Caenorhabditis elegans: one gene and its partner. The protein of the gene in region 1 interacts with the protein of each later gene in a pairwise test. Each region holds a gene or a part of one and is shown on either strand. Other genes may lie near its edges.

Region 1 (3,652 bases):
ATTCTATTGAGCATTGTGATGTTTGTACCAATTTAAACAAGGAAACATCAACAAAAAGTCACTTGGATCAGTCATCATGTAAATACGCGTCAGTTATGTGTGAACAACTGGTATCTAGTTGATCCTCCGAACTTTGTCACTTCTTTTTCGTTTTTTCGAGAACTGGGCGGCACACAGCAAAAGGGTATAAAATGGTAAGGAAATGGATGGAAAGGCAGAGTCAATTTGCGACCAGCGGTTATTGTACTACAAATAATTGTTATTTGCTATTTTTCAAAGTGTCATAAGTTCTCAACAATGGTGAGTATTTGTTATACATATATTTGTAAAATTTCCTCGTGTCTGTAAGTCTTTAAGTAAACCATTTCCAGAAAGTTTTCATCGTTCTCGCAGCTTTAATTGGATGCTACGTCTACGCTCAAGATGGTAAATATTCTGAAACTTATAATAAGCATGACATATTTTTTTAAATTTAGCTCAAATTCTGCCAGTAGGTGGACAAGTTGGTGGTGGGCAAAGATTGCCATGCCGTGGACGAAATGAAGAATATAAGACTTGTGGAACCGCCTGTGAGCCATCATGCACCAATCCGAACCCGGTAAGCTATCTGCCGACTCTTCGGGTATTTCTGTGCAAACACCGTCACGCGAAAATTCTGCACGCCTAAGTTTGATCTACAAAAAATGCGGGTTTTTTTCCTAGAAAATTGTGACGTCAGTACGCTCTTAACCATGCGAAATCATATGAGATGTATGCGTCTCACCTCCCGCATTTTTCGAAGATCAAAGCGTGTTTTTAGATGTGCACCAAGCAATGCATCAACAACGTCTGCCAATGCAGAAGCGGATACGTTCGTAACGAGATCACCAGACAATGTGTGCGTCAAGCTCAATGCTCCAGACCTGGAACTGGTTTCGGAAGCTCCACTCCGTTCCCATCTCAATCTCCTCAGAGATGCGGACGTAACGAAACATTCAGAACCTGCGGATCTTCGTGTGAGCCGAGCTGTACTACTCCACGTCCACAAGCGTGCACTATGCAGTGTATTGTGAACGTGTGTCAATGCTCTGAGGGATTTGTCCGAGGACCTTCCGGATGTGTCAGACAACGAGATTGTTAAACGAAATGCTTTTTAAAAACATTTTAATCTTGATTCAGCGTACCGCTGAATGATGTTCTGTAAAAATGAGTTTTGCACAATAAAGCTTCTATTCATTCAAAAAATAATCTCGACTTAAAAAACAACTCGTGTTTTTTTGAAATATCGTAATTTTGCTATTAATTTAGAACAAAATATTAGAACAATTTTTAACTGAAAAATAAACAGAAAACGACAGAGTTTGATAAAAACGACGTAATTATTAATAATTACGTCGTTTAATAATACATATGATTGATCAAAATGCTAGAAAACACAAGAAAGCAGCCGAAAATGTTCAAAAAAATTTACGATAACCATTTTTGCGCATCGAGACCGATCTAAATAAATTCTTGCTTCTTTAAAACGGATTACAATACAATTTTCCATCACAGAACGAGACTTTTTCAACAGCCACAAAAAACTCAAATTCAAATTGCCGCCGAAAGTGAATTGGTGCGAGGTAAGTGCGCTCCACCGCGAACATCGAATATTATTTCGAATGCAATGCTTGGCATCGTGCCAGCACCCAAATTATTATTGGTGACTGACTGTTTCTTTTGGTTTTCTTCGTTTTCTTCAAAATTATCGCATAAATATTATATTAACCTTAAGTTTCTGGTAAAAAGTACTTTTAAACACGGAATTTATCATAAATCAAGTGTATTTTGCATTTTTAAAACTTAATAACTGTGGATTATGAATTTATCGATTTTTTTTTGCCTACGTTACAATTTTCAGTTGAAATGACTAAACGCAAGAATGCGAGTAACGCTGGATCGAGCCCAAAAAAAGAGAAGAAATCGGAAACTTTTGCTGCTCTAAAGTCGGTTAAAGCGGAAAAGCGGCCAGCTGCGGACTCTTCGGTAAAAATAACCCAATTTCTTCACTAATAAAAGATGATTCTTCAGGATTCCGAGCCGGAGGACTTCGAAGAAGAGCAAATTACTCATACCGAGGCTGAAGAGACGAGAAATGAAGACAACGGTCAAGCGATTTACGAGCCTGATGTAATGCGCCCTTTGATTGAGTCTTTCTTAGAATTCCTTGTTCAAAGGCAGTCTGAAACGAGTACAGTCCATAACATGGAAAACAAGGTTGCGGAATGGGCTGAAACACGTCGAGATGATAATATTGACGCAGGGTAGCTCTTTCTGAAATTTTGGTTTAAATTAAAAATTTATTATTTCAGATTGTTCGTTCTCGACTTCCGTAAGTATCTGAAAAGTGCGGTGAAATTCAAAAATCTGCAAATGAACGATTCGTGTGCCGCCATATCCACCTATCTGAACAGTGAAAAATCTCTGGTCGAGTACAAGTCAATGCCGGATCGTCCACCTACAAAAATACAGCTTTACATAAAGAAACATCAGATTATGTTGAAAGGAATCGGTGGTGAACCGATGAAAAACGCCTACAAAGCAATGAATGCGGATACGGAGGGTGCGAAAGAACTCGACGAGCTACTCCGAGAAGCTTCGTTGCAGTACATTCCACAACTTCAGGAGTTCCTTGATACGCATCCAAATCTGACAGAAGAACAGAAGCGATCAATCGTTAACAAGATGAAGATGCTCAACAAGAAATACAACTCAAAGGAAATTTCAAGCACACCAAAGAAGAGATCTAGCAAGAAGGATCCAGAGACGGCATTCAGCCTCTTCTGTAGAACAAAGAACGATAAGTGAGTGTTTCTTTGCCGAGTTTCAATTTAAAAAAAAATATTTTTCAGGTATCGTGACCTGTCTGACGAGGAACGCGAGATCAAGCTGCAAAAGAAGTTCGAAAAACTGCCGGCCGCTCAAAAGGATATTTACGAAAGCCTTGCCATCAGCATGTGAACCACCCATTCCCCATTAATTTTAAACGTTATTTTATTAATCTCCAATAATGATCAACTTTTCGCGATACTCTTCATTTACTCGAGAATTTCAACCAAATTTGTTTCACACTGTTTTGTTTTTGTTTCAAAAATATTTAATGAAAATCTGTTATAATCATTGTAATTGTCCACTGAGTGGTTGATTTGCAAGTTTTATAGCTTTTCCTCATACTTTTCTCCTGTTCGTTTTTTTCCTAATTAATCCGATTCCCATTTGTGTCGTCAATTTGTAGAAATGGAGATAATTCGATTAGATGTTTCAATTTTTGTAAGAAATTTCATTGACAAGCATCTAGTACCTGCCGATAGTACTCTAATTCGCTAAAATTTTGGCATTTCAGTTCAAAGGCACACGCTATTTTTCCAAGTGGGTCTCGCCACGATCAGACGTAAATTTTGCACATTTTCTCATAGGTTGTAGAAGTGGAAGCTTGATAGGCAAATTTCAATCAAATTTTAAAGTTCACAGAAATTTTCGGCGATTCTACAAAACGATTTTCATTAAATAAAAGTGCCAAAAAATGAAAAATCTTTGATTTATCTGAAAATAATATCAGCTGAAAAATTCCAGAAAAAGCTCAGAAATGCCCGGAAAGTTGATAATTGTCGAAAACGGAAGCGAAAAGTCGGTA
Region 2 (4,516 bases), 500 kb from region 1:
TTCGTGACAATTACGTGACAACTTCGTGACAACTTCGTGGCAACTTCGTGACAACTTCGTGACAACTTCGAGACAACTTCGTGACAACTTCGTGACAACTTCGTGACAACATCGTGCCAACTTCGTGACAACTTCGTGACAACTTCGTGACAACTTCGTGGCAACTTCGTGACAACTTCGTGACAACTTCGTGACAACTTCGTGACAACTTCGTGACAACTTTGTGACAACTTTGTGACAACTTTGGGACAACTTCGTGACGCTGTAAAGCCAAACGTAGTGTTACCTTCTTTCGCGAGCCAAAAAAACGCGAAAGAGGGGCGGAGTCTGCACACTCGGCATTTATTAGAGGCTGCTTGGCAGAATATAGAAATTGATGGTTTCATCTGTCCCTGGTCTCATCGTTTCAATTTCTACATTAAAGCCCACTTTTGTATTAATATCCCACATATCACCAATTTCTCATCTTATCATAGAATCTTTCAACATTATTATTTGTAACAATATTTGTATAAGTAGTATCTCTAACGTTTTATTTAAGAAAAATAATAATGAAGTTGACATTACAAATGTTTGAATATGGTAATATCAGTGGAAAAGATGACATAGATATATAATCTTTTTTAAAAAACGAATACAAATCAGCGCATAGAACACGGTACAATTGATGTAGAGGGATACGTAATATGCTGGAAAAATGGCGATACAGTCCAAACTTGTCTATTCTTTTTTTGCTTGACGCCGCTTTCGAGTAGTTGGCTTCTGCTTGCAGAGGGATAACGGGCGTTTCACTTTGTTGTGACGGTAATACAAGTTGCAAGCACTGAAAATATTACTTTAATAGTGGAACTAATGATGTATATTTAACTAGTCATTAAAATTAATAAAATTTTAAATTCGAAATTCTAAAAAATAATCGAAAATTATAAGCAAGTTCAACTGAGAATTTTTGATTTGGAATGTAAATGTTCTAAATGTTCGAAAAAATTCAGGGGTAGGCGGCAAGTGCCATTCGGCAAATTTTTTTGTCAACAAATTTGGCAAATCGATAAATTGCCGGTTTGCCATTTTGCCGGAAATTTTCATTTCCGACAATTTGCCGATTTTTCGGAAATTGAATTGATGATTTTTGTTTTTAGAGGGATTTTTTATAAGACGGAAACATTTAAAACTGTGCATTTTTGAAATGTTTTCTCCGTTTTCTTTAGATATTTTCACAGAACTTGCTTACTTTTCAGAATAGATGTAGGAACATTCATAGGATGCGTACAATTTTGCCGATTAAAATTGAAATTCGGAAATTTCCAAAAAAAATGTGCAAAACCACAAATTGCCGAAAATTTTCGGCAAATTCGGAAAATCGACAAATTGCCGGTTTGCCGATTTGCCGACTTGCCAGAAAAACAATCGGTTGCCGCGCACACCTGGTAGAAATAATATAAAAGAATATAATAAAATATAAACTTACTTGCACTCAAGATTCCCTTCATCATTTTTACGCCAAAGTGTGGTTGTAGTTGTTGAGCAGTGTGAGCAGCACGCATCACGAATTACCTGAAAAATTTCATATAGAAATATTTATTTCATTCTAAACCCTCGAATCCTACTTTTGCAATTTTCTTTCCCTTCTGTGAACCAAATCGGTTTCCAGATGATTCGTAACTGCTATCTTGCTCCACAAAGGATTTTTGCTCATTTTCATTTTTCGTCAAGCTTTCATCAAAAATAATTCTGGAATCTTCAAGTGGTTGTAATGGAGTAGTACACATTGACGACTGAATTGGTTGTTCGTATGGAGATGGAATTTGATAACTCTGGAATGGATCAAAGTGATGAGTTGAAGCATCTTGCCAAGTATTGTAGTACACGGGCTGCGGTGGGTAGACATATGGACTGAAAAGTTGGAGTTTTTATTCTCTCAAGCTGAGCTGAGTTTGTAGTACATTTGTGGTGCAGGAGACTAGGCAAAAGATTTGTAAGCAGTTGGTAAAATTTGGCAGGAAAAGTTAAGCGGAAAGTTGTTAAAATTTGTCAGAAAGTTGCCAAAAGTTTTGCAAGAAGTTGCCAAAAGTTGGAAAAAAGTTGCCAAATGTTGTCAAAAAGTTGCCAGAGCTTGGCAGGACGATGCCAAAAGTTGGCAAAAAGTTGTTAAACTTTAAAAGAAAGCTATCAAAAGTTGGCAGAAAGTTGCAAAAAGTTGTCAGAAAATGTCCAAAGATTGACAGAAAGTTGCAAAAATTTTGCAAAAAGTGTTAACATTTGAAAGAAAGTTACGAAAGGTAGACAGAATTTTTTAACTGCTTTGTAGGAAATTGTTAAACTTTGAGAGAAAGTTGGAAATTACCTACAATTGCCAAACAGGAAACATGTTAAGTCATACACTTTAAGCCATTCCCAGCATGAAACTCGTTTTTCAGACTCTCAAATTATAATAATAAACCTTAAAAAATATAATAATTCTCAAAGATTCCTATTCTCAAAAACACTGAAAACTACTGATTATAAGCAGTATACTTTGGAGCATTCGATATTGATTTTTATCAGTTATGCTACATGAGTTCAATAAAACATAGTTTTGGTCACATGTTGGAACAAAGTTGTTGTTTTTGTATACATTACTACAGGAAAGTAATATTTTGGTAGTAATGTAAAAACCATATAATTCTGTTGATAGTGAATATTTCAATTTAAGTTTGCCGTAAAAATAATACAATTACATTATGCAACATTTTTATGCACTGCAATAAAACAGTTTTGATTTCAAAACTTACTTTTGATTATATTGAAATTGATTAAATAAATAATAGTCCTCCATTGGACTTCTCGCTGGCGGCTCATTCATGATAGTCGTAACAGATGGAAGTGGTTGAAGAGTAGTAGTTTCAGGGAGCATTTTTTCCAGTCGACTAGAGCAGACAACTCTAACCACAAATGTCTGTCTTTGTTACAGGCAGGAAAGTAACAAAGAGCCCGGAGAGATCCTAGAGAAAGAGACAAAAAAGGTCAGAGTGATAAGATAGACCGGCGGCGGTGGTGATGGGGAACTGTGTGTGGCTCACCACCCATCATTAGTAGTTTATGATATAATGACTATGAACCTGGACGGCAAAGTTCTTAAAGGGAAGGAGAACGAAAGTAAATATGACTTGGGACTTTTATGGATAGTCGTAAATTAGTGGTAAGTCAGAGATGCATGTACCTATGCCTTGTGTGCCAGTGGACGAGCAAAAAAAGGAAACATGGGAAAGAGGGGGGGGGGGTGCGGCAAATCTCAAAATTTGCAGAGTCCGGCAAAACCGGCAAATTTGACAAATTTGCCCTGGTCGGCGAACCCGGAAAATCTCGATATTTTAAAACTATTTTTTGGATCACAAAATTGACGAAAAAGCTTTAAAAGTGTAGCATTCTGGAAAAAAAATTTTTTTTAAAGATACTCACAAAATTTTGTGTTATTTCATTCATTTCTTTCTTCTAAACTCAAGGCAAATTTTAGAGTATTCCGAGCTTAACAAATGGCAAATTGGACAAATTTGTCGCGAATGGGAAATCTTGTTCCAAGTTGAAATGCTGTGTCCTGGAGGAAGTGTGCAATTATTTTTTTTTAAGTTGAAGTAATGTGCAAAAGGGGCATAAACTGATTGTGAGAGTGCATAGTGTTTATAATTTAATTCTTGTATTATCGGTAGCCTATTTCTAACGTGTTTTTTTTTAAAATACATATAATTTATTTAAAATGAATGCTTGAAAAATCAACATGGAATGTAGTTTTACGTAAACTGTATTTTTCTATTAAAAAAAGTGTAGATTTGGAAAAAGATAAGAATTCAGAACTGTGAGAGGCGATTTTAAATTCATTATTTTTATTCAAATTACTAGCATTCGCGGCTTCTCAACTAACCGACTAACCCCCAATGTGCGTCTCGAGACCAGGATTGAGTACAACTCGGAGGTAATATAAGGTATTAGAATTACGAGTTCTCAGTTAACCGCTACAGATCTCGACACGAAATTACTTACACCACACAAAATGAGGAATCTGCAGAAAATTGGTATAAGATGGCTAATTCGAATTTCCGATCGGCAGTGTTTGAGGTATGAATCCCGATTTTTATAATCGGAACTTTGTGCCTACAGTACCCGCATGTGTTTCAAAATTACCTCTACAGTTTATTTTTTCCACTTCTACGACTTTAAAGGAGGGCGCATTTATTCAAAATGGTCCCGCCACGCTCCACCCATTGGTCTCGCCACGCGCTTCAAAAATCAATGAATGGCGCGTGACGAGACCATTTTGAATGAATGCGCCCTCTTTTGAAGTCGTAGAAGTGGAAACAAATACACTGTACTTTTGCAATTTCGCTCAACTTTTCGCAATTAATAGCGCTAAAACTCCGGGTTTTTGAAAAAAAAAACCAAAAGTACGGGGAAATGGAGAAATATGTGCGCGGAAATACTGTACCTGGTCTCGGCACGATTGAAACCTTTCAGCTACCGTACACCACAAGTTTTCGTAATC

What was found. The genes of interacting proteins can lie anywhere in the genome.
Region 2: the proteins of penr-1 (region 1) and elt-7 interact in a two-hybrid assay, tested with the Caenorhabditis elegans proteins (one large-scale study listed by BioGRID).

The regions. Positions count from the first base shown.
Region 1 is NC_003283.11:5,267,606-5,271,257, forward strand, and holds penr-1 (HMG box domain-containing protein), read left to right. Parts: upstream 1-1,879; 5' UTR 1,880-1,884; coding exon 1,885-2,004; intron 2,005-2,049; coding exon 2,050-2,282; intron 2,283-2,330; coding exon 2,331-2,822; intron 2,823-2,870; coding exon 2,871-2,979; 3' UTR 2,980-3,139; downstream 3,140-3,652. Other genes in the region: spi-2 (TIL domain-containing protein), read left to right, coding at 298-300, 372-426, 477-598, 800-1,120.
Region 2 is NC_003283.11:4,769,091-4,773,606, reverse strand, and holds elt-7 (Transcription factor elt-7), read right to left. Parts: upstream 2,938-4,516; 5' UTR 2,894-2,937; coding exon 2,772-2,893; intron 1,894-2,771; coding exon 1,608-1,893; intron 1,555-1,607; coding exon 1,469-1,554; intron 824-1,468; coding exon 721-823; 3' UTR 521-720; downstream 1-520. Other genes in the region: C18G1.9 (FERM domain-containing protein), read left to right, coding at 3,912-3,949, 3,996-4,092. UniProt on the Caenorhabditis elegans protein: Transcriptional activator that binds to the consensus sequence 5'-[AT]GATA[AG]-3'.